4 linked regions of the Tamandua tetradactyla genome follow. The protein of the gene in region 3 interacts with the protein of the main gene of each other region in a biochemical or structural test. Links are inferred from orthologs where the notes say so. Each region holds a gene or a part of one and is shown on either strand. Other genes may lie near its edges.

Region 1 (6,845 bases), on a different chromosome or scaffold from region 3:
TTTTTAACAAAACTTTTTAATGGATACAAAGCTCAAACATGTCTTAAGATCTCTGTGGAAATTTCAGAAGCCCCAAACAGGTTCATTTAGCTCTGTGAGCCTGTGCCGAGCTGTGTTAGGACCTGCCGTTCTCAAACACAGGGGCAGAACTGGATGCCTGGACTTGGGACACCCGCATCGAGACTCCCTGCCAGAGGCTTGGCAAGGAAGGCTCCCTGGAACCTATCAGGACCCTGCTTCTTGGGCCTTGATACCACTAAATCCACCTTGGCACTGCTCTCCCAGCAACCAGAGGCCAACGGTCGGAGTTGGCGCTTGAGATGAACCATTCGCCATTCTGGCGACCTGCGCACTTTACAGGGAAGGTCAGTGTGGGCCAGAGTGGGGAAGAAACTCCCCTGGGCTCTGAGACCCAAGGGCAGGGCTGACACTCAGCGTCCGCGCTACCAGGTGTGGACCACATGGTCTCCGGTTACCACAAGTCCCACTGAACTAGCCACTTGGTAGCAGAACATACTCGCAATTTCTAACTGCAGTTATTACAGGCAAAAAGAAATAGGGACAGGCATGTCTGCCCTGCTGAAGGCTTTCTCTCTCTCTTTTTATGAAAATCTGCAGATTTTGTCTGCTCAGAGGCTGCAGGCAGCTCAGGTTACTTCCTCTGACTAAGCCTTCTTGAGCAGAGTGGTTGGGGACAGGCTCCGGCTAGGGCTCATATGGGAGGAGTCTGCAACGCCAACATCTTGGAGCTTGCAATACTCTAGCCCTTGTTATCAGACACATAAATACGTCATCACAATTCTCTGTCTGGAGAAAGAAGCTGGTCCGCAGTGCCATGGTGGTCTTTTCCCACAGAACTAAAACGCATGTCCGGTTGATTTAACAGTGACTTAGAATGCCAAGCATTTCTGTAGCTGTAACATCACTTGAGGTCTTCCCAAGGACATACTACCAGCATCTAACCCAAACCTTGAGGCTGCTAGCCAAGTATGTGTTTTCTTCACGGCTCTCTGCTCATGCAGCTCTCTGGGCAGCTTCTCTGAATAGCTGCCCTAGTGCTGGTTCTCAGACCCCAACCACACACGCACACCCAACAGCTCTCAGTCCAGCAGTGAGGGTCAGTAGGAGGGCAAAGCACACTTGGTAGAGGTTGCATGTGAAGTGCACAGAGCAGAGAAAGCCTGATCTATGTACAGCTAATTTTAAAGCAAAGCTATGATTCTTAGCTACAAGACTGTCCCTTTTGACTTTTCTCCTTTTAGTTCCTTTTCACCCACTACTGAAGGAAGAAAAACCAATCTGAAACCTCCATTGTGCATCAAATGGGCACTAGAGCCGAGAGAGAGGTGGAGGGCAGTGCCCAGTGCCCAGGTATGGTACTCTGATCCCCAGAGCTTGAGACAGGAGGAAGTGTCAAGCTGGGAGTCAGGGCTCGCTCCAGGGCCCAGTCCTGCTCACCCGCAGTGTGTGACCTTGGTCGGGTCCCTCCACTCCTCGGGTGGCTCCTACCCCGGAAAATGCCCAGGCTGCTCTGAGCTCTGAAGTTCTCTGCGCTATCGCACGCCCTTACGTTGAGAGATTGAGCTCAGCTCTGGTGGCACCTGGGCACCCCCATCAACAGACAGCAGCAGCCTCTTGACAGATAACAGGAAATCCCAGAGCAAAATAAACCACACTAAATAGGAACAGTACAAGACACTGTTCCTTTCTATAAATAAACTTTAAGTCAAATGAGGGTGTAAACCGGGTTTAAGGAAAACTCAAAATACTGAAGCAACCTTTCATTTCAGTACTGAAGTCAGGAATGTGCTACATGAATGACAAGGGAATCTGAACTCATTTGACAGGACACCTCCTCTCCGTAAATCAAAGCGCTCCCCCTAACTCCTGCCACAGCAGCACCTCCAGGCGGGGGTCCATCCAGGGCAACTTGCTCATCTGACTGATGGAGCATCCCAGCCGGGAGCAGGCCCGCCAGCGGCCAAGGTCACAGAGGGGGTCTGCGGCCAGGCAGGGGTGGAATCCCATATCCCCCACCCCCCTTCACTCTGCTGTCCTCCACAAAGGGCAAAGCCGCAGGTCGGGCGAGTGACCACGCTCAAGTATTCGGTGGTGAAGGAACGAAGCTGCTGGTATTCCCTCGCACACAGCTGGCCCCAAACCGGCCGATTTCCAGGCAATGGAGGCGGCCTACAACACAACCCAACCTTTCAAAGCCTGCAGAGCCAGGGCGGAGCCCCTGGCCGCCCACAGCCAACTCTGTCGCCCCCGCAGGGAGCCAAGGGGCACCTCCCCACCCGAGTCTTTCACCCGATGCGGCTTTCGTGACGTGGTATGTCCACCACCTGGTCCACTCAAGCCGCAGACCCGCCAGATGCTGCGTGAGGAACAAAGGAAAAGGGCTCCCGACACCCGCGGCGCTCCTGGGCGGCGGAGGGGCCGGAGATGGTGACCCCGGGGTCTGGGGGTGAGAAGGGGAGGCGCGTGGGGCGGCGGGCGGCGCGTGGGGCGGCGGGCGGCGCGGGGCGGCGGGGGGGACGGGGCGGGCGGGGAGCGGGGCGGCGGGGGGGACGGGGCGGGCGGGGAGCGGGGCGGCGGGGGGGACGGGGCGGGCGGGGAGCGGGGCGGCGGGGGGGACGGGGGCGGCCGCGCGGGCCCACGCACCTCCTCGGCCTGCCTGCGCAGCGCCTTCTCGCGCTCGTACTGCGTGAGCAGCTGCTCGTTGTCCTCACGCAGCAGCTCCAGCTCCACCTCGTGCTCCTGGTTCTCGCTGAGCACCGAGTCCAGGTTCTCCAGCACGTTCACCACGAGCGGCATCAGCTCCTTGACCACCTCCTCGTCGTAGCAGTGGATAAGGCGCTCGAACTCGCGGTAGATGGAGCCCGCCAGGCCCGACACCCGCTCGGACATCACCGAGCCCGAGCAGTAGTCGTCCTGGTACACCACCACGCCGCCGCCCTCGTCCATCTGGATCTCCATCATCGCGGCCATCGCCGCCGCCAGCGCGGCCCGCCGTCCGGCCGCCGCGAGGGTCCGCAGGCCGCAGCAGGTCCTCGCCGCCGCCGCCGCTGTCGCCTCAGGCTCGGCCGCCGCGCCCGTCACTCACTGGCCGGAAGCCCCGCCCGCGCCGGAAGTCCCGCCCCCGCGCCGGAGCCCCGCCGCGCGGCGCCGCCAGGGGTCGCCCAGCGTGAGAGGAAGCGGGTGTCGCGAGTCTCGCGGGGGGCGGGGGCGGAAACTCGGCTGGGCTGGGCAGGATGTGTTTCCGGTGGAGCCGCCCGGGGACCCGCCCGGGCTTCGAGACCGGGGGCGTGTGGTGTTTCCCAAACGGTTCTGCTTGGACTTCAGCCCGCCCCCGTTTACAAACAGGAACGTCCCTGGAAGCCCCGCGGCGGCGCTTCTCTCCAGGGCGGCCGTGGCCCGGCGCCCGCGGTCCTCTGAGCACCGGTGCAGCGTGACCGCGGAGCTGCGCGTCCCCACGGCGCGGCCCACCGCTTCTTAAGAACACCTCTGCGTCCAACCAGATGCGAGTTCGTCCCACCCTAAAATCCTGTAGCTTAGTCTGTTTCTGCCCTGCTTTTTTGTGTAACTTATTCAGATCCTCGTTTTTCTGCTGTCTTATTTTACCTGTCCATTGCATTTTTCATTTCAGTGGTTACTTTTAAATTTTCTATTTGCCCCATTTGGTTTTCTTATGTTTTACCAGTTCTTATAGGCGCTTATTCCTTACAGTTTAAGCGCTTTTTTTTTGGTATCTGAGTTCCATTACCAAATTTTTCAGGTCTGATTCTGCATTCTGCTCAGGCTCCCTCCCCCAGCCCCCTCTAGCTAGTGTTCCATGGGACGTCATCTGTGAAATTGTGGCTGTTTTAAAATGAGCTGCTCTGCAGGGTTTGTCTTTTCTTTTGCAGGGCATCGGGGGCTCTTTGAACCCACAACTAACATTTTCAGCCTGGGATTTACGTAGGCCACATAGGTGCTGTGAATTCTGGTCAAAAACCAAATCAGTGCCTGCTTAAATGCTCCCCTTTCACCTTCTGAAATGCTTCAGAGCCAATGCGAACCCTCATCATATCCCAGTTACACCCAAACAAGGAATTCTTCTGTCATTGACACCCCTAAACACACACTATATTTTCTACAGATTTTATCCTTGCAACACAATTTACTGTATACATGTTCACCTGCTCAACTCAGAGGTAGGTTATATGAGGCTCTCAAGTTTCAGACGCAGACTGTCTGGATTTTGATCCTAATCAAGTGACTGAATCCAAGTCTTCATTTCCAAACCTGCAAAACAGCCAAAAAATACTAGTGTACTGTGAACACTGGTAGATTAAGTGAATTAACCCACAAGAGATTTAGTTAGCTCTATTTCTAGCAGATAGTAAGCGTGCATTCAATGTTAGGTAGAAACGAATTGAAATTCTCAAAAGGCAGCAGGACAAATGGATAAAATATATTTAGTTCTCCCTGGTGAGCAAGAGAAAAACTTCCACCTTGGGCCTTTTGCAGAAATTTAACCCTTTTGAACCCTCTGAAGTAGCATGCTACTGCAGGAACAGTCACCTCGGCCACAAGGAGCCACTGACTGGGCCATCAGCTTTATTTTGATGGCTCAGGACCAGGGCAGATTTGTTGCTTGAAACTGCATTAAAATTAAACAAAACGTAACAAGATGACTTGCTGAATCCTTGCTGCTTACCAGATAGTGCAAAGAAAGTTCAATCTAAGGGAATTCCTAATAGACTAGACTTAGATTGATCTTCAAAGATAGTTTCAAGATACATAGTTCTCTGATCTTGAAAGATAGTTTGGGATTCAGGTTTTTCTTTCCTCATTACAAGATCCTTTATATGAAACATGGGCAAGTTTCAAAACTTGCTGATTTCTAAGTGGATGCCTCTCATGCTTGAAAAGGGCACCTCAGTCCCTGTAACATTTTTTTTTTAATTGAAGTTTACAAAGCATTGCTTTGCAGCCACTCATAAAACAGAAAATTCACTAGTGCTACCATTTAAGAATGCTAAGGATTAAGAACGGGAAAAAATAAAGAGGGGAGCCCAGAAGATGTGGTCAACTCTGGATGTGATTAAGCGGGAGCAGTGCAAGGTTTGACTGAGGCACCCCACAAAAAGCACGTTACCCATGGCTGGTGCACCCCCGACTGGCTGTTATTCAGGCCCTCACCCCCACACAGGTGGAGCCACTGCCATGCCTCTGGAGACAGAAGCTGTGGACCTGAGACCTCGGCTCACCTGTGACTGCAACAGCTGCTGCTAATATAGGTTATTTCTAGCTGCCCTCTACTGCAAATCACATGGGGATAAGCAAATGAAGATGGGTGTTTCATAACCCATGCCTGGCTTCTTTCTGATTTTCTGTCCTCATAGAGGGGGCTGGAACGATTCATCACCCTGAATCCATGTACTGTGGGTAAGGACATAAAGCCTGCTTCTGGGACAAGGGAAGATAAATGAGGAGGGAAGGCATCCAATCCTTCTCTCTATATATGGGTCTGACAAACCCAACTCTCAGGAGCAAGTCCAGTACTTTGTTTTTAGGAAAACAAGTGGTATAGAAGAAATAATCACTATTTCTTACAGAAATCTTACTATTTCTTACAGTAGCATACAGAAACTGGAAACACCACTAGCACGGTCCCAGTCATTCTACTCAGAGCTAAATGTTTTCAATGAAAAACCTTAAATCCATGTTTGAGAAAATTAACATGGAGATTGGGCCGTTTAAGGAAAGCACACACACACACAGCAAAGATTTTAAGTTCTTGATTGCTAAGTTTAATTCAACTGTTATACCCCATTCTGCCTTGTAAAAATAACACAATGTTCCTATCAAAATTACATTGAGATGTGAGTACAGGTTTTTTTGGTTGTTATAGCTCTAGAAAAATGTTGGCACCAAATGCACTAAAAAAAGGTTTAAGGCTTAATAAAAATACAGACTAGTAATTTCTCAAGGCAGCTCAGAGGTTTGAGATCTCCCCAGTGCAGATGGTCCCATGTGGCGCTTGCCTTCCCAGTACCACGGCCACTGGTCGTGCTCTATGCAGTTCTTCCACTTCTCCCAGTGAACGGACCACCCAGACAGGCTGAACCCTGTTCCTGCACCCTAATGGAGAGAAGAAAGGGGGAAAGGACGGGAAGGAGAAAGGGGAGGCGGAAAGTTCCATCCTTGCTGACTGGGGGTTCTGTCATCCACATTTTCCTTACTTCCCAAAGACTGCTCCCATCTTTGCTTCCCCATCCCCAATCATCACTAAGCATCAACAATCCCCAGTGCACAGATCCCGGCCAGGGCAAGAACGGGCAGCACTTCCTCCCACAAGATGACAGCAGGGGCGTGGCAGAGAACAAGGGTGAGCCTGTAACGTCGAGTTTCTCCCTGGTAAGCCAACGTGCTACTCGTGAATCATTTCCTCATCAAAAACATGGTTATACACGGCAGTTCATTTCCATCATTAAAACATTCCAATGACGTTATAAGTTACACAAATTAGTGCATTTGGGCTTGAAAAGCTAACAGCCATTTACGATACTGTTCTCAAATGGAGAGAAAATTGCTGTGTTCCAAAAAACTTCCCTATAAAGAACTGTGAGAGGCAAACTATTTGGAAGTTGGAGGCAGTGGACATTTCTTGGCTCTGAAGCTGGCAGGACAAATGGAAAGGGGAAGAAGCGGAGCTTGGGCAGCAGGGCCAGTGAAGGCGACCCACCCAGCTTCCACATGACTTCAACAGTCAAAGTGACTTCTGCCACTTGGTGTGGACCTCATGGGTCCCCTTCCCAAAAGCTGCCCCCAGGAGACCCTTCCTTCATGTTAACAGA
Region 2 (7,443 bases), on a different chromosome or scaffold from region 3:
ACTTGATGCATAAGAATAACCTCCAGGATAACCTCTCGACTCTGTTTGGAATCTCTCAGCCATTGACACTTTATTTTGTCTCATTTCACTCTTCCCCCTTTTGGTCGAGAAGGTTTTCTCAATCCCTTGATGCTAAATCTCAGCTCATTCTAGGGTTTTTCTCAATCCCTTGATGCTGACTCTCCGTTCATTCCAAGATCTCTGTCCCACGTTGCCAGGAAGGTCCACACCCCTGGGAGTCATGTCCCACGTAGAGAGGGGTAGGGTGGTGAGACTGCTCGTTGTGTTGGCTGGAGAGAGGGGCCACATCTGAGCAACAAAAGAGGCTCTCTTGGGGGTGACTCTTAGGCCTAAATTTTAAGTAGACTTGACCTATCCTTTGCGGGGTTAAGTTTCATATGAACAAACCCCAAGACTGGGGGCTCTGCCTGCAGCTTTGGTTGTCCACACTGCTTGTGAGAATATCAAGAATTCAACTTGGGGAAGTTGAATTTCTCCCTGTTCTCACCACTCCCCAAAGGGGGCTTTGCAGATACTTTTCCACTCACTGATCAAATCACTCTGGGATTCATTGGGGCATCACTCTGGACAAACCAGCAAAATCTCATGTCCTACGTGAGATTCCAGGTACTTATGGCATTCAATCAAACTATCTACATAAGTTGTATTACGAGATGCACTAGTCAAAATAAAAATTTTTTAACTAATAAACATTTTTTGCTTTAGTCTCACACATACGGTGACATTTTAAAATATTAATTACCATCTATTTTCAGCACCCTGCAATAATGACATTCCTCTGTTCTTCCTCATGCAAAAACATTTTTAAAATTTGTACATTTAGTCACTATTATTATACACTCTAGGCATTCCTAGATATACCATCTCAATCTTTAACATCTATCTTTCTTTCTGATTTCATTTATGCCCCCAGCCCTCCTCCCTCTATTGTTCTCACATGCAGCTTCATTCAGTGTTTTAACATAATTGTATTACAGTTAAGTAGTATTGTGCTGTCCATTTCTGAGTTTTTGTATCCAGTCCTATTGCACAGTCTGTATCCATTCTGCTCCGATTACCCAATATCTTACCCTATTTCTATCTCCTGATGGTCACTGTTATGAACAAAATATTCTAAGTTTATTCACTAATGTCAGTTCATATTAACGAGACCATACAGTATTTGTCCTTTAGTTTTTGGCTATTCTCACTCGGCATAATGTTCTCAAGGTCCATCCATGTTGTTACATACTTCATAACTTTATTCTGTCTTAAAGCTGCATAATATTCCATCGTATGTATATACCACAGTTTGTTTAGCTACTTGTCTGTTGATGGGCATTTTGGCTGTTTTCATCTCTTTGCAATTGTAAATAATGCTGCTATAAACATTGGTGTGCAAATGTCCGTTTGTGTCTTTGCCCTTATGTCCTCTGAGTAGATACCTAGCAATGGTATTGCTGGGTCGTATGGTAATTCTATATTCAGCTTTTTGAGGAACCGCCAAACTGCCTTCCACAGTGGTTGCACCATTTCACATTCCCACCAACAGTGAATAAGTGTGCCTCTTTTTCTACATCCTCTCCAGCACTTGCCATTTTCTGTTTTGTTAATAATGGCCATTCTGGTGGGTATGAGATGATATCTCATTGTGGTTTTGATTTGCATTTCTCTAATGGCCAGGGACATTGAGCATCTCTTCATGTGTCTTTTGGCCATTTGTATTTCCTCTTCTGAGAGTTGTCTGTTCAAGTCTTTTTCCCATTTTGTAATTGGATTGGCTGTCTTTTTGTTGTTGAGTTGAACAATCTCTTTATAAATTCTGAATACTAGACCTTTATCTGATATGTCGTTTCCAAATATTGTCTCCCATTGTGTAGGCTGTCTTTTTACTTTCTTGATGAAGTTCTTTGATGCACAAAAGTGTTTAATTTTGAGGAGTTCCCATTTCTTTCTTTCTTTCTTCAGTGCTCTTGCTTTAGGTGTAAGGTCTATAAAACCGCCTCCAATTATAAAATTTATAAGATATTTCTGTACATTTTCCTTTAACTGTTTTATGGTCTTAGACCTGATGTTTAGATCTTTGATCCATTTTGAGTTAACTTTTGTATAGGGTGTGAGATATGGGTCCTCTTTCATTCTTTTGCATATGGATATCCAGTTCTCTAGGCACCATTTATTGAAGAGACTGTTCTGTCCCAGGTGAGTTGGCTTGACTGCCTTATCAAAGATCAAATGTCCATAGATGAGACAGTCTGTATCTGAGCACTCTATTCGATTCCATTGGTCAATATATCTATCTTTATGCCAGTACCATGCTGTTTTGACCACTGTGGCTTCATAATATGCCTTAAAGTCAGGCAGCGTGAGACCTCCAGCTTCGTTTTTTTTCCTCAAGATATTTTTAGCAATTCGGGGCACCCTGCCCTTCCAGATAAATTTGCTTATTGGTTTTTCTATTTCTGAAAAGTAAATTGTTGGGATTTTGATTGGTATTGCGTTGAATCTGTAAATCATTTGACATCTTAACTGTATTTAGTCTTCCAATCCATGAACACGGTATGCCCTTTCATCTATTTAGGTCTTCTGTGATTTCTTTTAACAGTTTCTTGTAGTTTTCTTTGTACAGGTCTTTTGTCTCTTTAGTTAAATTTATTCCTAAGTATTTTATTCTTTTAGTTGCAATTGTAAATGGAATTCATTTCTTGATTTCCCCGATTGTTCATTACTAGTGTATAGAAATACTGCAGATTTTTGAATGTTGATCTTGTAACCTGCCACTTTGCTGTACTCGTTGATGCAACATTAATTCTTGCTGTAATTTCTGGCTAGCCCCCACAATCATCTGTGCCAATTCCTTAAAATAAATATTTTAATGTTTAAAAAAATAAAATTTAAAATCTCTTACCTTTCTGGCTGGTGGGCCATGAGCTTTATATTCACTCTGCTGCCAGGAATCACTCCTCTCTTATCAAATAAGCAGAGCTTCCAAAGTTTCCATTTAAGTATCCTTAGGGCAAAGGATAGGCAGAAAAGAGTGAACTCATTAACCTGCACGATCTAAAAGAATAGCCTCATGCAGTACAACTGCACTATGAAGTTTTAAAAGTATTTTCCTTATTCTATATTTTAAAATGCATGGTAACATTGTAAACACAATTAATACCGCTGAATTATACACTTGAATGTGATTAAAATGGGAAATTCTGAATTGTACATAGAGTACCAAATTAAAGTTTTAAATAAAAAGGTAGAAGTTGGATCTTAAAAAAAAAATGTTAATTTTCCCTTCCATTCCCTATTTTTTAATATAATATGTTCCCTCCAAAATCTTTAATGCTCAAGGAAGGTATTTATCTTGTGGCCTCTCATAACTCCTTGCACATGCAACATATCAAAGGAATGACACTTTCAAGGAGGGAAGTAAGACAATAGAACCTTGGTGAAACACAGCAGATATACGAAGTTTTTCACCATGATAGATAGGGGGGTAAGGAGGAAGGCATGATGTTAGGTGAAAAGGCAGTGCTGCATCTCAGCATCAAAATCCTGAGTGTGACCACAGTACATGGAACATTGGACAGGGCATGAGATTTTGTAGGTTGGTCCAAGTTAGTGTGATGTCCTGATAAATCCCAGAGGGATTTGTACAGTGAATACAGAAGTATTTGCAAAGTCCCCTTGGGGGAATGGGAAGAATGGGGGAAAATTCAACTTCCCCATTTGGAGAATTCCTGATATTCTCACAAGCAGTGGGGACAACCAAATCAACAGGCCAAGCCCTCAATCTTGGGGTTTGTTTCTATTAAACTTATCCCCACAAAGAATAGGCTAAGCCTACTTAAAACTAGGCCTAAGAGTCTTTCCCAGAGAACTTCTTTTGATGCTCAGAAGTGGCCTCTCTCTCTCTCAGCCAACACAGTAAGCAAACTCACTGCCTCCCCTTCTCTACATGTGACATGACTCCCAAGGGTGTCCCTGTCCCTGGCAACATGGGACAGAAACCCTAGAATGAGCTGGGACTCAGCATCAAGGGACTTAGAAAACCTTCTCAATCAAAAGGGGGAAGAAAGAAATGAGACAAAATAAAGTGTCAGTGCTGAGAGATTTCAAAGAGTTAAGATGTTATCCTGGAGGTTATTCTTACACATTAGATAGATATCTCCTTTTTAGTTTATGGTGTATTAGAGTGGCTAAAGGGAAACAGTTTGAAATTTTTATGTGAATGCCAAAAGCTAAAAAGATACTCATTTCAAGCTGACAACAAAATTATTTTATATACAGACTCCTGTTTCCTAAAGGCAAAATTTTCTGAACTGGACATTTAGTTATACAAACGTAAAATGGAGACTATAAACGGAGTAGCAATTCAAAGGACAAACAGCTCTATGGGACAATGTAAAACTGAACATCTTCTAGGTAGAGATAAATTTCTGCAAATTATTTCCTTCACATAAATGTTTATTTTCTAGGTATTGGCTTTCAGTGGACTTATTTGTAAGGAAAGGTTTGTGTTGTTATCTCAACAGTTGCTCAAAAACTTCTCTCTCTCTAAGCCAACATGGCAAGCAAACTCACCGCCCTCCCCACCTGTATATGTGACATGACTCCCAGGGGTATAAACCTTCCTGGCAACATGGGACAGAAATCCTAGGACGCTAGGACTTGGCATCAAGGGCTTGACAAAACCTTCTCGACCAAAAGGAGGAAGAGAGAAATGAGACAAAATAAAGTGTCAGTGGCTGAGAGATTTCAAATAGAGTTGGGAGGTTATCCTGGAGGTTATTCTAACACATTATACAGATATCTCCTTTCTACTTTATGGTACATTATTGCAGCTAGAGGGAAGTACCTGAAACTGTGGAGCAGTGTTTCAGTAACCATGTTTCTTGAAGATGATTGTATAATGATACAGCTTTTTAACTGACTGTGTGATTGTGAAAATCTTGTGTCTGATGTTCTATGGTATAGATAGATGAGTAACAAATATGGATAAGAAATTAATAAATAACAAAGGTTAAAATAAATTGAGTAGATTGAAATACTAATGGTCAACAAGAGGGAGGGTGCCATGGTCAGGTTCATGTGTCAACTTGGCCAGGTGGTGGTAACTGTTTGTCTGGTTTGGCAAGTGCCGACCTGTCTGTTATGAGGACATTTCATAGAATTAAATCATGATCATGTTGACTACATCCACAGATGATTCCATTTGTAATCAGCCAAGGGGGATGTCTTCTTTAATGAATGATGCTTAACCTAATCAATCACTGGAAGTCTTTTAAGGAGGATTCAGAAGAGACAGCTCTCTTCCTGCTGTGGCCGGCAACAACTCCTGTGGAGTCTGTCCAGACTCTCCATCAGAATCATCAGCTTCACAGCCTGCCCTACAGGTTTTGGACTCTACGTTCCCACAGTTACATGAGACACTTCTATAAACTTTATATTTATGAATATTTCCTGTTGATTCTGTTTCTCTAGAGAACTCTAACTAATACAGAGGGGTAAGGGGTATAGTATATATGAGTTTTTTCTTTTTAATTTCTTTCGCTGGAGAGATGCAAATGTTCAAAAAAATGATGATGGTGATCAATACACAACTATGTGATGATATTGTGAACCACTGATTATAACCATGTCAAAAATGTTTGTATGCCAAGAATGTTTGTATTTTTTGTTTGTTGTTTACAATAAAAATATTTTTTAAAAAAGATCAGGAACAGACAAAACAATCCATTGTTAGAAAACAGTGAGATGGACTTGTGGTCTTATCTTCACCTCAAACAAAATGAAACCAGACTAAGCCAGCTGTATGTGGCCTGTCTTACACACGCAACATTAGATTATCATCCAAACTTTGAAAAACAAAAAAAATGTATATACAGCAGAGTATGAAAAGGTTATCAACAAAATACTTTAAAACATAAACACAGACTGGATTCAAATAAAATTATGTTGGAGAAATGGAAAGAAAATAGGAGTTAAATAAGAAAAAGGAACATAAAAATGTCCAACTGTTGAAGATAAACTCATTTGAGTTTTTAAAAAAAAAAACAACAGTATGTGATCACTGGTATTTAATTATAAATGAGTGGTGCCATTATTTAGAAAAGGTACAAAATCTACTTTTTGTAACTATTTAAATATGTGATGAAAACTTTTAGAAATAAACTTAGAAATGTGTAAGGATACAAAGTTTATCAAATTTCTATTCAGGAATATGAATGTACTACACAGAATGGCTCCCCAAAGATGTCCATCCCCTAATCCCTGGAACTGGTGAATATGTTTTATGTTTGTTACATGGCAAAAGGGATTATGCTTAAGTAAAAAGACTACAGATTCTAAAATAGGGAGATCATCCTGGATTACAGAGATGGGCCCAATCTAATCACATGAGAATTTAAGAACAGAGACCTTTCTCTGAGAGGGGTCAGACAAATTCAAAAAAAGACGTCAGAGAAATTAGAAGCATGAGAAGAATTCAACTCGTCATTACTGGAGGGTGCCAGATGTGAAGCATTCCAGTTTCTAGGAGCAAAGACCAGTCCATTCCCCAACTCCCTGACAGCCAACAAGGAAAGGGGGACCTCAATTCCACAAGTACAAAGAACTGAATTCAATCATCAAACTGAATGAGCTTAGAAGCACATTCGTCCCCAGAGCTTTCTATAAAGAATACAAAACTGTCAAATCCTTCTTTTGGCCCTGTTTGGATCCTAAGCAGAGGATGCAGCAGAGTCTACCTGAACTTCTAATGCACAAAATCTGTGAGATCAAAAAACAAAAATAAAAACTGTGAGCTGTTTTTGTATATGTGTTTTAAGTTGCTGAATTTAGGGTAATTTGTAAGGCAGCAAGAGAAAACTAATAAAGTGAACAAAAACTTTAAGGTGCCGTTAGCTGAATAGGCTAGTGTCCCATGGCTTCAAAGCAACAGCACCCTATAGACACATTTTTCTCCGTGCTATAATTTCCTTCTTATATTGTAGTTAAGTACCACAAAAGCAAGCTAAATGATCCTAGAGCCCACCTTTGGAACAGCAATATGATCATAAAAACAAACCTAAACCCAGGAGATTGAGAACCTATGAGTTAGTAGGACTTCATTCCTTCTTCTCAAGGTTAAATTACATTTGAGTACCTTTTTTAGGAAAAATTTACATGATATAATTTCACTAAGAACCTCTCCAGTAAGAAATAAAACATGAATTCACCAGTTTGGGAGATATAAAAAAAGAATAAATTAAAATAATACATGTAAAATACATAGTACAGTACACAGCACCCAAATAGTATCTGTTGCTTATTACAAATTTTAATGTTTTACTTTGACTTTAAATGTACATTGTCCTAAGGCTTAACTAATACCTAATCTTATGATTTTCTTTATTTTTAAAGTCAGAAAGCATGAACTACATATTTAAACTTTTAGACAAATGATTT
Region 3 (7,267 bases):
TCCCAAATGTGGAAACACTATAGAACGACAAAGCTCTCTGACAAACTGCAAGAAATAAACTACAAAGAAAACAACAACAAAAAAGAATAGAGAAGGAACCTACAGATTAAAAGAAGTTGAAAGACATCAAACAATCAAAATGTGGATGACCTTAGCTGAATCAAATGAACACACTGTGAAATAAATGATAAAAACACGGGACAACTGGAAATTCGAATACTGGTTATCTGATTATTTAAGGAATTATGGCTCTTTCAAGTTAGAAAGATTCCTCACCTCTTAGAGACAACAAACCAAATTGATGAGGGGGAGGGCATAAGGCCACAGGTATAAGGTATGAAATTAAGGAAGGTGAGAGAGGAAAGACGACTGGGCGTGAGCTGATAACCGCACAAGCTGGGTACTCTTCTAGCTATTGTCATATAAGTTTAAAAATCTCCATAAGACACAGTTAAAATAAAAGCCTGACAGACAAACTATCACAGTTTACAGAAGGCCAAGTACCAACTTAGTTATTCTTCAGGAAAATTACATGTAACTGGAACCTTAGAAAAGGTAGTTTCTTCTTTTTTAAAAAACAGTAAAAAAAAAAAGTAGTTTCTCTTTTACTCTATGCATCATGAAAACGGGAACGTATCTACTCTATTAACTGCTCTGTCTGGAACTTTTCTTCATCCAGAAAATCATGACAATTTTACTTTAATGAGACAAACATGAAATTCAAGTGTACTCGGCATAACATTTTGGGGACCCCATAAATTATTTAAAGTCATGGCACTCTGAAAACTCAATTCTCAGGAATGCCAAAGCTTTCCAGAGAATACTGTGCCAAACGGGATTCTTTTTAACCTCTCAGGATCCTTTTGCAGGGAGAACAAAAGGTTTAAAGGAGGAAAGGGTCATTTACAACAAATTCAATTAAAAGCCAGAAGACAATACTCAGAGCTAAGGGACTGTGGGAAGGCCACTGGGTCTGCCCGGAGACCTGGATTCAGATTTCACCAGCAGCTGCCTGGTGGGAAGCCACCGTGTCAAGGCAGCAGGGACAACCCTCTCCCCGGGGAGTGTGGACGTCCTGGCTGCTCCCCCCAGAGCTGCAGGGACAGCAGGAAATACCCCGGCCCAGCTCCCCGGGCCTCAGGCGGCTTTCCAGCTTCTCCCCAGCAGCAGGTCCCCAGACTGAAATTCCTGCCGACAAGCTGCATGGGGTTTATGTTTAGCTTGGCTAACATAAACATAAGCATTAAAAAAAAGAGTATAATTACTTATTGTCGGTATATAAAAACAAGGAGACTGAACTTAAAAATCTAGAGCGCCTCTGCTGCCTGGCAGAAGTCACCGCTCCCACCCGCCTCCTCTCCCATCCAGACCCGACTCCATCACCACCTGTCACTCCTGCCTGTCTCTACAGCACGGCCCCTCCACTGCGGCAGTTACCCGCTGTTCCGGAACTGTCTGCCTGGCTCCTTCTGGGGTTCTCAGGCTCTCTGGGGGAAGGGACCCTGCCACCATCTCCTTTGTGTCCCCTGCACCGGCACAAAGCCTGACCTAGATAACACGGAACTCACAAGTGCCTCCTGCATGTAGCAAAATAAGCTCAAGCTAAGACACAAATATGTAGCTTTTCCATCCATAGCTTGCTCCAATAGTTGCCAAATAAAGAGGTCAAGGCCATGAAAATGTTTCACAAAATGAGAACAGGCTTCCATCTGCTTCCAGGTTCCACTAGCTAGCCCGAAATTACTAAAGGACAGGTGAACCAGAGGCACCGCCAGGTCTCTCTTTAGATCATTCATTCATTCACTCAACTGATATCACTGCTACTCACTGGATGCTTTCTCAGCACTGAGAAGACAGCAGTGAACAAATCACAGAACTACCTGTTTTCACAGCGCCTACATCCTAGTAGGCAAACAGAAAATAGGCAGCAAATAAATGGAATGGTTTCAAACCAGAGTAAACTAAGAAGAGAATTAAAGCAAGGAGACAGAATGACTAAGGGAAGACAGAGGGTGGTCAAAGAAGGCTATTCATGCTGGCCAGAGGCAGGAATGCTGAGGGGCCAGCTCTGCAAAGACCCCAAGCCAACTCCAACCCTGGGAAACAGCAAGTGTAAAGGCCCCGGGAAAGGCACGTGAGGGGCTGTGGGTGGGGGGAGTGGCAGGACAGCTGGGCAGGGAACACTCAGGAGTGGCCTGGCTTTGAGTGTGCAATGACAACGCACTGGAGGAGTGGGGGCGATGGGGGGGTCTCCTGCCACACACTGCAGCAGGAGGCTGTATCCCTCCCACTGGTGCACAAGCATGCGGGGCTACCGCTCCAGGCGCCCGCACACAGCCGCACACCTGACCACAGCCCTGCCCAGGCCAGTGGGTGTTCCCTTACTTTCTCCAGAAGAACATCCAGGAGCTGCGAGGGCCCCGCCTCGGCCAAGGTCGCGGTGACGAGACCCGGGCTCCCGCACGTCCCGGCGCGGCTGCGCGGCTGCGGGCCCCACGGTCCCGAAGGCGGGCACCTGCGGACCTCACCCCAGCCTCATCCCCGGCGCGTCCCGGCCCTGGAGCGGGCCCCAGCCCCGGGTGCTGACCGCCGCGGGGGAAGGGCGTCCGCCGCAGCCGCGAGGCCAGGGCGGCGCCGGCCCGCGCAGCACCGCAGCCCCCGCCCGCAGCTCCCCGCAGCTCCCCCGGCAGCCCCACGACCCCCAAGTCCCCGGCCCTCCAACACCCTCGCAGCCCCCGGCCCGCAGCGCCCCCCGCAGCCCTCCGCCTGAGACCCCGGCCCGTGCCCCTGGCCGCAACCCTCCGCCCTCCGCCCGCAGCCCCCGGGCCGCAGCCCCCGCCAGGCCTACCCGCCCGCCCCGCAGGCTCACCTCGCTCCCGCCGCCGCGCCGGACGGACAGGGCTGGCGGGCGGCTCGGAGGCCCCACGCTGCTGCTCGCCCCCCGCAGCCCGCCCGGGCCCGGCCGCCGCAGTGGGTGTGAGGGCGCCCGGCGCGTAGCCCCTTCCGGTCCCGCTCCTCCTCCCCCCGCGCCGCCGCCGCCGCGGCGCCGGGCCCGACTGACCCGCCAGCCGCCCAATCAGCGCGCGGAGAGCCTGGCCCAATAGACTCGGCCCGGCCAATCGCGCCGCGGGGCGGGCCGCGGGGGCGGACCAGGCCAGCGGGAGGGGCCTGGGGCGCGGCCCGCAGCCTGAGGTCCGGGTGCCGGCGCCCGAGGTCTGTGCGGCGCCTGCCGAGACCCGCGCGCCCGGAGCCTGAGGTCTTGGTGCGGACGCCTGCGGGTTCTGCAGAGCCCGGATGGGGCCGAGAGGGTGGACCGACAGGCTGACCGGACCGAGAGCCGGGCGGGTGGCGGCGGGGACAGGGCAGGAGCTGCCCAGGATCGCGAGCGAGGAGCGGAGAGAGGCGCGGGGACGTGGGTCGCTGCGCGGCCTCCGGGAGCGGGTTTGCCGCGGGCGTGGCTACAAGCCATGGCGGGGCGGTGGAAAGCAAGAGGAGGCGAGGAGGTGGGACGCAGACGTCGACGCTCCCCCGGGGCCGGGGAGGGACGCGAGAGAGGCGGGGCCGGGGCTCTGGATGCTGGGGGTAAGGAGGTCCGAAGGGGCAGCCTCTGTGTCAGAGGAGCAAAGGGGCAGATTTATACCGAGGGAGGGGGCGCGGGGGGGGGGGGGCCGCGGGAGGCCGGGTTCTGTCTGCTCGGAGCTCTCTGGAGGCGTCTCCCACAGCCCCGCCGTCCCGCTGGGGACTGGCAGGCCTGAGTTTTCTTCCCGCGGTGGGTGCATCTCGGGCGGCGGGAGCACCTCGGGCGGTGGGGTCTGCCATCGCGCCTGGCTGAGCGACCTGTCCGGGAGGAGCTTGGGCAAATTTAGAGAAAGCTCAGCGGTCAGGGCATACCGGGAGGAGGCGGGCTGACTTTGGGGGCAGGCAAGTAGGAAATGGTGGTCGGTAAATGGGAAAGCAGCAGTCATAGGACGCCGGTGCGTGGACTGGAGAGCTGGGAGCAGGGCCCTCTGGGGAAGTCAGGGGCTGGGGACCCCGGGCGGGGTGAGGCTGATGGCACCGGGGTCTCAGGCCTCGGGGAAGGGGTGGGATGGAGGAGCTAAGGGAGCCTCGGGCCCCTGACCTTGGCCGGCAAAGGGGTGACCGGCTCATTCCTGCTAGAGCGAGGCTGACAGGAGAGACAGGTCCAGGCGGCCTGTCCTCACCTCACACTGACCTGCCTGCCACTTGGCCTCAGGCATATTTGCATGATCAAAAACAAGTATTTTGGCAAACCAGAAAAACCTTTTTGCCCGGGAACACTCAGGGGCCTGCTTTTACAGCACCCACCTTTCAGGGCACCCTTCACTCCATGCCAGGGAAGAGCCAGAAATCACTGTACGTTGCGCACACACACACACACACACACACACACACACACACACATTCCACACTAAGTTTTCTATAAGGAATCCAGTCCAAAGATACTGCCTTTTTCTGCCTTATGACATGCAGTGACATTTGCAGATGCACAGTTGGGGTGACAGGTTGGGGTGGGGTCTCTGCCTTGGAGGGGTGCACAGAATCCTTCCCCCACCCCGTGCCCACTCTGGCTGCACATGTCCTGGAGGAGACCTGCTGCTGGTGGCCCCTCAAGCTGGCAGTACCACTGTGCAGGCAAAGGGCAGCCAGCTGACTAGACGTGTTACACAAGGAAGGGGTCATGTGATTGGGTGTTTGTTTTGGGAAAGTCACTGGGGCATGAGAGGTTTTTTTGGGGGAAGGGGGCATTGAGGAACTTAGGGTTGTCAGACCAGTTGGGGTTGTGAGAAAGCATGAGACCCTCCCTGGGGCCACAGCAGCAGGTGCCAAGAGGGAGAAATTGATTTTAGAACTATTCAAGTCTTTAGGTAAATGAGAATTAAAACTATAGTGAGGTGCCGCTCAGCACGACTTAGCATGGCTAAAATTTTTAAAAATCGGACGATACCGACTGGTATTGTGGCCACGGAGCGACTGGAGTGCTCACTCCCAGTTGGCGGGAATGCAAAATGGCACCGCCTCTTTGGAAAGCGGTTTGATGGTTTCCTTTAAAGTTAAGCATATGTGCGCCCTACAACCCAGCAATCCCATTCCTAGGTATTTATCCAAGAGAAATAAAAATGTGCCCATACAAAGATCTGTGCGTGATTGTTTAGAGCAGCTTTATTCCTGACAGTTCAAAAGCTGGAAACCACCCGTGTGCCCCTCATCCGGAGAGCAGATAAGCCGCATGTCCAAACAATGGAGCGCGCCACAGCAACCAAAAGGAACTACATGCTGACAAGGTCACGGCGTGGATGAATCTCAAAAACATGCTAAGTGAAGGAAACCAGCCACAAAAGCTGATATCCTCCATGATTCTGTTTATATGACATTCTGGGAAAAAAGGAAAGTCAGATCAGTGCTGGCCAGAGTGGGAGGAAGGGACTGACAGTAATGGACAAGAGAGAACTTTCTGGGGTAATGGATATAGTCTATATTTTGATTTTGGTCGTGGTTATATGAGTATATATTTGCCAAAACCAAAGAATTATTTTATGAAAAAGGGCCTTTTTGTTTTTAATTGGTTGACTTTCATTTTTTAGAGCAGTTTTAGGTTTACAGAAAATTGAGCAGATAGTATGGGGAGCCCCCGTATACCCTCCAGTCTCTGGATTACTAACATCTTTATTAGTGTTGGTATTTGTTACCATTGACTAAGCAGTACTGATCCGGTGTTAACTCAGGGCTCAGGCTTCACTCCCGGCCTCCGCCGCGCGGCCGCCCCCGCTTCCGCCACGCGCCAGCCACGCAACCACCCCCCCCCCCCCCCCCCCCCCCCCCCCCCCCCCCCGCCTCTGGCAGGCACCTGTGGTCGCAGTCGCACAGACGATCCCGCGGTCCTGACGGTGCCCCATGCATCCCCGCTTCATCGCTTGCCCCTTTCCAGCCCCCGTGCGCCCCTTCCCCTGCGGCTTTGCGGCCCCTGGGTGGGCTCCCTGCCGGGAAGGCCGTGGGCCCTTCCTGGCTTCTGGGGTGCTCACCCTCCCTTTCCCCGCCTCAACCCGCAGCTCCCGCCCCTCCGTGATGCCACAGCTGCCGGACACCGAGCACCGCTGCCGCTCGCTTGCCTGGCAAAGGAGAGGAGGGCGCAGGAGGGCGGGGAAGGGAAGGGAAAGGAGAGCAGAGGGAGCTCTGGCCTCGACCCCTGGGCTGGAGGGTGGGCAGTGGGGGCGCCCGGGTCCGCATGCACAGTCCGGGGCTGGGCTTCCCATTGCCCCATCTCGCCCCCTCGGGGACCGCCTGGGCTCCATCCCATGGCCCACGGCCCACCCCCCACCCCCGAGGCGGCCTGGGCTCTGAGCTGTTGGCCCTGCTTTCCTGCTTGCACCTCTGGACTGGGGCTTCCCTTCTCCGAGCCTCAGTCCTGTGGGCAGCGGGCTGGACAGTCGGGGCCCCTGAGGACGCAGCAGGAAGGTGGGCAGGTGCACTGGGTGGCCTGGGTCCTCGGTGGCTGCTTCCCAGGCGGACCAGGTGCGCCCTACAGACCTCCCACAGCCCGCCGCCTGCTCCCTGCTGGGGCCCTGGGCTGTGTTTGCCATCCCAGCCCCATCCCTTCTTTAGCAGCTGTATCTCCGCAGGACTTTGGAGAACCCCCTTGTGTTGCGGGCTCTGTCCCCTGCACTCCAGCCCCAGGCGTCGCCCCTCAGTGTACCCGGTGTCCTCAGTGATTGCTTCAGGGATGGGCAGCTGTGCCGGTTTGAAGCTATTATGTTCCCCAGAAAACCCACGTCCTTTAATCCTCATTCAGTGTTGCTGGGTGGGAGCTTTTTAATTGCTCCTATGGAGATGTCACTCGCCCAATTGTGGGTGGGACATTTTGATTAATGGTTTCCATGGAGATGCGTCTCTACCTATTCAAGGTGGGGTTGCTTCCTGGAGCCCTTTGAGAGGGAACCGTTTGGAGAAAGCTTCAGAGCCCGCACAGCCAGAGACCATTGGAGATGCGGAAAGAAAACACCTCCGGGGAGCAGTTGAAGAAATCTGGAGAAAACTAGCAGACCTCCCATGTGTCTTCCCAGCTGAGGGAGAAAACCCGAGCTTCATCAGCCTTCTTGAGCCAAGGTATCTCTACCTGGATACCTTGGTTTGGACATTTTCATAGCCTTGCTTTAATTTGGACATTTTGAAGGCCCTAGAACTGTAAACTTGCAAGTTAATAAATTCCCTTTTTAAAAAGCTGTTCTGTTGCTGGTATATCGCATCCTGG
Region 4 (7,227 bases), on a different chromosome or scaffold from region 3:
TCCTGGCGGGGGTGGCGGGGCAGGGCGGCGCAACGGCGCGGAGACTGCCGCAGCCCCCGCGCCCGGGTCGGGTCCTAGGGAGAAGGCGGGGTGGGGGGGGGGGCGCGGCGCGGCGCCAACCCGAAAGGGCGAGGCCCGCCCACCGCGGGTGCGCTGGACCCCGGCTTGGGGCTTTCCGGGCCCGAGTAGCCGGCCCGCCTGGGAAAATCCCGGCCCCCTTCCCGGCGCCGCGGCCCTGCCCGGCAGAGCGGGGGAGGGGATTCCCGGAATCTGCCCGGAGACGGCCTGCGCGTCACTGGGCAGAATCGGCCCATATATGGGCAGCTCTTCCGCTGCGTCAGCGGGGAAAGCCCCGGCGCGCGCGGCGGGGCGGGGCCGCGCCTGCGCGAATCGCGCCTCCCGCGCCTGCGCATTCCGCCCCTCCCGCGCGCGACCCGGGACCGCGGGGAGGGCCGGAGACAGGGTCCGTGCTGGGGAGGGTGGCACAGATGCGGAGCGAGCCACGCACAGCACTGGGGGAGCAGCCTTCTCCCCTTCCCTCCTCCTCGTCCTCCCTCCTGACATTGGGGGGAAAAAAATGACTCCAGAAATTAATAAAGAACCTTTTTTTTTTTTTTACTTAAATAAATTCAATAAAAAGTCAGAACAACAAACGCACACACACACACAAACACATCTTAAAATAAACTCTTTAGAGACCAAGTGCGTGTTTCTTCTCCACAGTACGATGCAGTTGGGGGGGAGGGCAGGGGGCGGGGGTCCCCTCCCCAGTGTCCCCGCGGGCTGGAGTACCGGGCGGCGGGGCCAGCTCCGCCGCGGTCGCCCCCTCCCTCCCTCCTTCCCTGTTAAATACACAAATATATTATATTCAATATGAATTGAGTCTGTTTCCAGCAGAAAAAAAAAATACAAAAAAAATAATAATAATAAACGTGGAGCTCGGAGTCTGTAAACCTCGAGGTGGATGGAGTGGGAGCAGCGCGCCGGCTGGCGGGCGGGAGTCCAGTGTGGTTGGCGGCGTCCCCAAGGCCCCCGGGGCCGGTGCCCACCGCCTGTCCCCTCGCCCCCGTGGGAGGAGTGCACCCAGCCGTCCAGGCTGGGGTGGGTGGGTGTCCGTCCAGGGGGGGCGCTCAGAAGGCGTGGCCCTTGACCGAGAGCAGCAGTTGGCAGCCGTTGCTGACGTGGGTCATGACCTTCTGTTTGAGCTGGGCCACTTGCTCCCGGAGGAGGCCGGCGGTGCTCGACAGCCCCGCGTTCTCGGCCTTGAGCGTCTTCACCTTGTCCTCCAGGCGCGCGATGCGCTCCAGCTTCCGCTTCCGGCACTTGGTGGCGGCCAGCCGGTTCCGCAGCCGTTTGCGCTCCACTTTGATGCGCTCCTGGTCTTCCATGTTGATTGGGGACACCGGCGGTGTGGCGTCGCGGCTGCGCGCCTCGGGCACGGTCTGCGGTTCCTCCTTGAAGGCCGAGGCGCCGCGACCCAGGCCCAGCTGCGCCGGGTGGCCGCCGGCGAAGGGCGGCGCGTGAGGGAGGTAGCTGATAGTGGCCGTCGGGTACGAGCTCCCGGTCCCGACCGCCGCCCCGGCGCCTCCGGAGGGCGCAGAGGCCGGGGAGTAGCTGCTGAGGTTGGTGTAGACGGGAGGCGGCTCCGGGCCCGCGTAGACACCCCCGGGCCCGGCCGGGGGCCCCCCGCTGGTGCCCAGGGACACGTTGGGGGGCGTCACGTGGTTCATTTTGTGCAGGTCGTCCAGAGCTTTGACGAAGCCGTCGGCGAAGCCCTCTTGCTCCTCGGTGACGCTGCCCCCTGCGCCCCCCGCCCCTCCGCCGCTGCCGCCCCCGCGGGGGTAAAAGTACTGTCCCGGCGGCGTGGGCGTCGTCGTGATCACGCCGTTGCTGTTGGGGACTATCAGGCGCTCCAGCTCCGACGAGGCGAGCTTGAGCGACGCACCGGTGTCCGAGCCCTGGCCGGAAAAGTAGCTGCCGCCACCGCTGCCCTCCGGGCCGGGACCGCGCGCCCCGGGCGCTTTAAGGCCCCGGTAGGGATCCGCCAGGTTGAGCGCCAGGCTGGGTTTCAGCAGTTTGTAGTCGTGTAGGGAGAGGCCGCCAGGGGCCCGGCCGTAGCCTGCCGCCGCGTACGAGTCGTCGTGGTAGAAGGGCTGTTCCATTTTAGTGCACATCCGGGCGGCCCGGGCGGGCTGGGGGGGTCCCTGCGGGGCCGCCCCGGGCCTCGCTGCAGCGAGCTGCTCGCTGTCCGCGGAGGTGGCTGGATCGCGTGTCTGGACGCGCGTTCCCGGGGTCCCGCACCGGCGGGGGGCGGCCAGCCAGCGGCTGTGCGCGGGAGCTCTGCCCGCCTGCCCAAGCCCCTCTCGCCCTCCTCGGGCGCGCTCGCTTTCTCGGCGTTCGCTTTCCCACTGCCCCTCCGCTCCCGGCTGTCTCCGACGCTGGCCCGGCCGCGCTCAAGGTCCCTGCTGCTGGGCTGGAGCCGCCCGCCTTTATACGACGCTTGTCAGCTGCGGAAGTGCGCCCCGATTGGCCGTCGCCAGAGCCGGGCCCCCGCGCCCCCCTCCCGGAGCGTGGGGAAGGGGAGGAGGCGGCTCGCGTCACTGTCAGGAAGCGCGTGTCCTTGTAAACAGCGGCCACGGGCCGGGTGGCGCGGCGCGGCTTCACGGGGAGGGGCTGGAGGACCCAGGGGTACGCGAAGCAGGGCTGCTAGGGGGCCCGATGTACACCGGGGAGGGGCTGCGAGGAGGGCGATGCTTCCCCAGGAGTACCCGGGGAGAGATTCGAGGGCCAGGAGCCGAGGCTGGGGTGGGGGTGGTGTCCCAGGGCGAACGTGGAAAGGTTTGAGGGACCCCGAGTGTCAGAGAGGGGTTGGGGAGGGGGTGCTGAGAATACACTGTGAGCACCCAAAAAGTAGGCAGAGGAGGGTTAAACAGGGTAAATGCAGAGGAGTAAGGAGATACCTGTCCCAGGAATTGAGTGAGGATCGCAGAGGAAATTTTCACAGGAGGGGCTTAACGCAGGCCCAGAGAGGAGGGGAGAGAATTACAGGCACACGGGGGAAGGGGTGGACAACCCATTAGGCAGGGAACTAGTAGGGATCCTCACGTCCATGGCAGAGTCTGAGGGTCCCCTTAAGTGGGGAGGGGAAGGAGTTGGGGGCTCTAGATATATAGAAAGTGGGTTAGGGTCTTGGGGTACATTTTGGGTCTGGGGAAATATGTGGAGTAGAATATGAGACATGCCTGTCCGAGGGGCTAGGTTGGGGATTAGGGGCCATCTGAGAAGCCTTGATGGACTAGAGTTAGAAAGGGGTCGAGGCACATCTTTGGAGCTTAGAGGACAATGACGGGAGGGTCCCCAGCTGGGGCAAGCAGGAAGAGAGGGGGCTTCTAGGATCCTGGGAACGGGACGTGCTGGGCGTTCCATGACTCGAGCCCCACCCCAACCCCCACTCCAGTGCGTGACCCGTGGCACCCCAATACTCTGTCCCCAATCCGATGCCCTTCCCCCAGTGACCCTGTGGTCGCCCGACACCGTGTTGGGTCCTGGAGTTGGGACCCAGCCCGACGGCTGGGGCGCGGCCTCGCTGCCCCACTCCCTTCCTTAGAAACAGGCTGGGGAAAGAGCGTGGCGGCAGGAAGTGTGGCAACAGCCCCCGGGGAAGGAGCCCGGCCCTGCCTCCGTCACTCGGATCCTCCGGGACCGTGCGCCCCGCCCGGGCTCCGCGCCTGGGAAGAAGAAGCCGGACGCGCGACCCCCGCCGAGGCCTGGCCGCGCCGAGCTCGTCGGTGCCACCGCCCCCCGCTCCGGGAATGGTTCCGTCCGCGGCGCGGGCAGACAACGCGGGGATGGTTCCATTGGCCCCACCGAACGGGGAGTAGCCTGGGGAGCGGGGCCTGGTCGCCATGGCAACAGGCCGGAGTCCGCTGGCAGGACTGGGTGCCGGGCGGCCCCTGGAGTCTCCCCCCACCCCCACCCCACGCCCATATAAGGTCACAGGAAGGGGTGGGGCCTGCGCCGTCCCGGGGCCCCCAGCCCGGAGCCGGGAGCCCGGGGATCTGCCAGGTCCCAGGGCGCCCTGGGCCCCCGGACGGCTAGTCCCGACCAGCCCCGACCTCCGCCCCCAGGGCCCCGACGGCCGCCCGGCCCCGCCCCGCCCAGCCGCTCTGGGGCCGCGTCCTGCCGGGTCCAGCCAGGCAGGTCCCCGCCTGCCCGCGGGCCTGGGTCGGACTTCGCCCCCGGCCCGACGGGGCACCAAGGAGGCTGGGCAATGCCTGGAGGCGCCCCGGCGCCTGGGCGGGCTGGCACTGCTGCCTCCTTCCTCCGGGCGGGGTGCCCTTCCCCTCTGCCAGGAGGTCTGGGCGCTCCCCCAAACCCTCAGACACACACTCCTGGGGCGCCACTCCCTGGCTCTTGTAGGCTAGGGCTCCCCTTGCGTCTTAGCCAGCGGTTCCCATCTCCCATCTAGAATGCCTGGAGGGGGTCTCCATTCCCTCCTGAGGAGGTCCCCCCTCCCCACAGGGACACCTCCCCCCACAATCAGAGAGGACCTAAAAATCCAAGGAGAGAACGGGAAGAAACACAGCACCCTTTCCCAAGGAAAACTGGGTAGAGATTCAGATAGTGAGGCTTCTAGTTAGACTTAAGATGGGACTTCCAAGCACCTAGGGTGTGGACCTCTGGGAGAGGTGAGGTGGAGGCTGGGCTTGCTCAGGAGAGCAGCTCCCTCTCTGAGCCTCCCAAACTCTGTCTTCTGGGAGGATGGAAGCCCTTTTGGGATAGAGGCAGGCTGAGAGTCTAGGGCTGGCAGGCACAGAGGTGGTCCAGGGTAGGGGAGAGAAGGAAAATGACAGAGCCGAAAGAGAAACTGAGCTGTATGGGGGCAGGGGAAGTCCAGCAAAGTGGTAGCCTGGCGGGGTAGGGAGGGGAGAAGATCCCATGCAAAGCTGGGGGCGTCCCCATCTCTGAAGGGTCCCTGTCACCCATAAGAGTACCCCCCACCCCTCTTCCCCTTGCACTACCGGCTCCCCTCCCCCGCCCCAGTCTCGGGGAGATTCCGGCGGCGGCTGCTGGTGGCTGAGTCTGACCGGCGCGCTGCCAGGCCTGTGTCTCCCGCCCATGCTAATAACTGCAGCTGACATCTGGCCCGGTGGGGGCGCAGCGGGCAGCGTTGGGGGGGCTGGGCAGGGTAGGCCAGAGGGCAGCAGCACCTTGGGAAGTTGACCTGCAGGTCCCATAGGCCAATTGTAACTCAGACCTGGGGTGAGGTGTGTGGGGAAGAGCCCTGCAGGGGCAAAGCTGTGCCAGCAAGGGACAGAGGGCAAGTCCCAGAGTGTGGAGCAAGGAAGAGTAGGTGTTTGGGGGTTGGGGTCAGGGCAGGGAGACAGACAGGGGCAGGGTTAGCGTCCTGGAGACAGAGACAGACTCCCAGACACTTCAGGTAAGAAGACAGATGGAGAAATAATAATTATCCCTTTAATAGCTAGCACTTATATGGTGCTTCTAAGTGATTTACGTATAGTCAGTCATTAGACGCTTGCAGCAACCCAGCAAAATAAAGTCTCTTGGTCTCCCCATTTAACAGAGGAGAAACTGAGGCACAGAAGGTTCCAGAACTTGCCCAGTGTCCCACAGTTATGAGGGGTGGAGTTGGGATATAACCCAAAGAGTTTGGCTCCAGGGTCCCAAGAGAAAAACAGGCAGGGGATCAGAGCTCTGGAGAATCAGAATGAGGGGGCAAGGAGCCTTTATGCAGCACCAACTGTATGCCAAGCTCTGCAGGCCCTTTCACAAAGGGTCTCCTGTATCCAGAGAGAGGAGGAGTTGGGTGCAGGATGGGTGCCCAGAGGGTGCCGTGCCGTGGAGTGTATGTGTGGGGTACCTCAGCCTGTTGGGGTCGCTCAATGCACCCTGCAAGGAAGGGTGTTTGAGCAGGGGGTGGGAATGGGGCTGGTGAGGGAAGGCGGGGGCCTAGCTGAGCTGGTCCAGCCGGTTCCAGCCCCTGCCAGTCTCACCCTTGTGGCCTGGGTGCCACCCCCTCATGCCGCCCCACTGGCGCCAAGGCCAGCCCCACAAGGAGGGTGTGAGGATGGCCCCCTCTCTCCCCTGGTCTGAGTGCCCAGACCAGCAGGGGGCTGGGTAGTCTTGTGCCCAGGCTTCCCCCACACCCAGGGGCCTGGGGTGGGGGTGGGGGGTGCAGGATAAGGAGGAAGTTCACCTACCCCCACCCACGGGTCTCTCGGGGGCTTTTGGCCTGGGCATGAGGGACTTCTGCTTCTTATAAATAGCTTGGTGACCCCCTCACTCCTGGCCCCACTGACTGACGGGGCCCCCCACCAGGAAACTGGGCTGGGGGCTGCCCGTGAGTCAGCCAGTGGGCAGGCCAGGACGAGAAAACACAAGTCCCAGCACCCAGCCTCCCGCGTCCCTGCCCTGGGTGTGGACAGGCAGCTGGGCAGGAAGAGTCACGGAGGCCCTCCTCCCCCACCCCAGGAGCCCCTGGTCTGCCAGCCATTTCCCTCCCCCATCCCTGTGGTCTGGGGGGGCTCAGGGTTCAGGAAGTTCCCCCTTAGCCCCTCTCCTGGAGAGGAAGCTGCTGGGTTTTCTTGGAAGCAGGAAGTATAGAGTTGGTCTCCTCGGGCTGACTCAGCTGGGCATGGGGCAACTTTTCCCATAGGGCTGGTTCTGTCTCCCCCCACTGCTGGTGAGGTCTTGGTGGTGGTGGTGGGGTCTCTGAGCATGGCGAAGATCCTCGGTGCCCCCTTTACAGGGGACGCGATGAAGAGACAGGCCCACACCCCACCAGGGTCTGACTTCTGAGCTGCTGAGCTGGGCCTCCTGGGGGAAGTGATAAACAGCAAGAGGGAGGAAGGCAGGGAGGGAAGGCGGGGGTAATTTGTGGAGAGAGGAAGTGCCAGGATCTAGGGGAGGGGGCCCCAGAGCCCCACAGGGCCTCTTGGCACAGGTCCAGGGTGCGTCTGCTCTGCTTGTGGGTTTGCCCACAGCTGGCCTGCGTGTGTGTGTGTGTGCGGGTGTGCGTGAGGCCTGTTTCATCAGTGTGTGTGTGTTTGTGTGTTGGCCCAACCCTCCAGGGGTGTGTGTAGGGCCTGTCAGTTTAGGGTTCTGTTCTGCTGTGACTGTGTAGGAGGGAGGTGGGGGGGTTGCGTGTGTGTCTAGGGTTTGTGGGGTGGGTTGCATGGGGCTGTCTTATATGGAGGTATGGGTAGG

What was found.
Region 1: the proteins of MAPK9 (region 3) and MAPK8IP3 form a complex in vitro, tested with the Homo sapiens proteins (2 studies listed by BioGRID). The link is inferred for Tamandua tetradactyla from reciprocal best matches to the Homo sapiens genes MAPK9 and MAPK8IP3.
Region 2: of the proteins of MAPK9 (region 3) and ATF2, one has a biochemical effect on the other in vitro, tested with the Homo sapiens proteins (4 studies listed by BioGRID and IntAct, with this or other methods). The link is inferred for Tamandua tetradactyla from reciprocal best matches to the Homo sapiens genes MAPK9 and ATF2.
Region 4: the proteins of MAPK9 (region 3) and JUNB form a complex in vitro, tested with the Homo sapiens proteins (2 studies listed by BioGRID). The link is inferred for Tamandua tetradactyla from reciprocal best matches to the Homo sapiens genes MAPK9 and JUNB.

Annotation. Positions count from the first base shown.
Region 1 is NC_135349.1:55,767,200-55,774,044, forward strand, and holds the start of MAPK8IP3 (C-Jun-amino-terminal kinase-interacting protein 3), read right to left. Parts: upstream 3,012-6,845; 5' UTR 2,992-3,011; coding exon 2,665-2,991; intron 1-2,664.
Region 2 is NC_135329.1:147,335,220-147,342,662, forward strand, and holds the start of ATF2 (cyclic AMP-dependent transcription factor ATF-2), read right to left. Parts: upstream 3,014-7,443; 5' UTR 2,929-3,013; coding exon of another isoform or gene 2,909-2,928; intron 1-2,908. UniProt on the Homo sapiens protein: Transcriptional activator which regulates the transcription of various genes, including those involved in anti-apoptosis, cell growth, and DNA damage response.
Region 3 is NC_135346.1:1,030,020-1,037,286, reverse strand, and holds the start of MAPK9 (mitogen-activated protein kinase 9), read right to left. Parts: upstream 3,007-7,267; 5' UTR 2,870-3,006; intron 1,923-2,869; exon of another isoform or gene 1,438-1,922; intron 1-1,437. UniProt on the Homo sapiens protein: Serine/threonine-protein kinase involved in various processes such as cell proliferation, differentiation, migration, transformation and programmed cell death.
Region 4 is NC_135337.1:89,837,069-89,844,295, forward strand, and holds JUNB (transcription factor JunB), read right to left. Parts: upstream 2,476-7,227; 5' UTR 2,175-2,475; coding exon 1,131-2,174; 3' UTR 512-1,130; downstream 1-511. UniProt on the Homo sapiens protein: Transcription factor involved in regulating gene activity following the primary growth factor response. Binds to the DNA sequence 5'-TGA[GC]TCA-3'.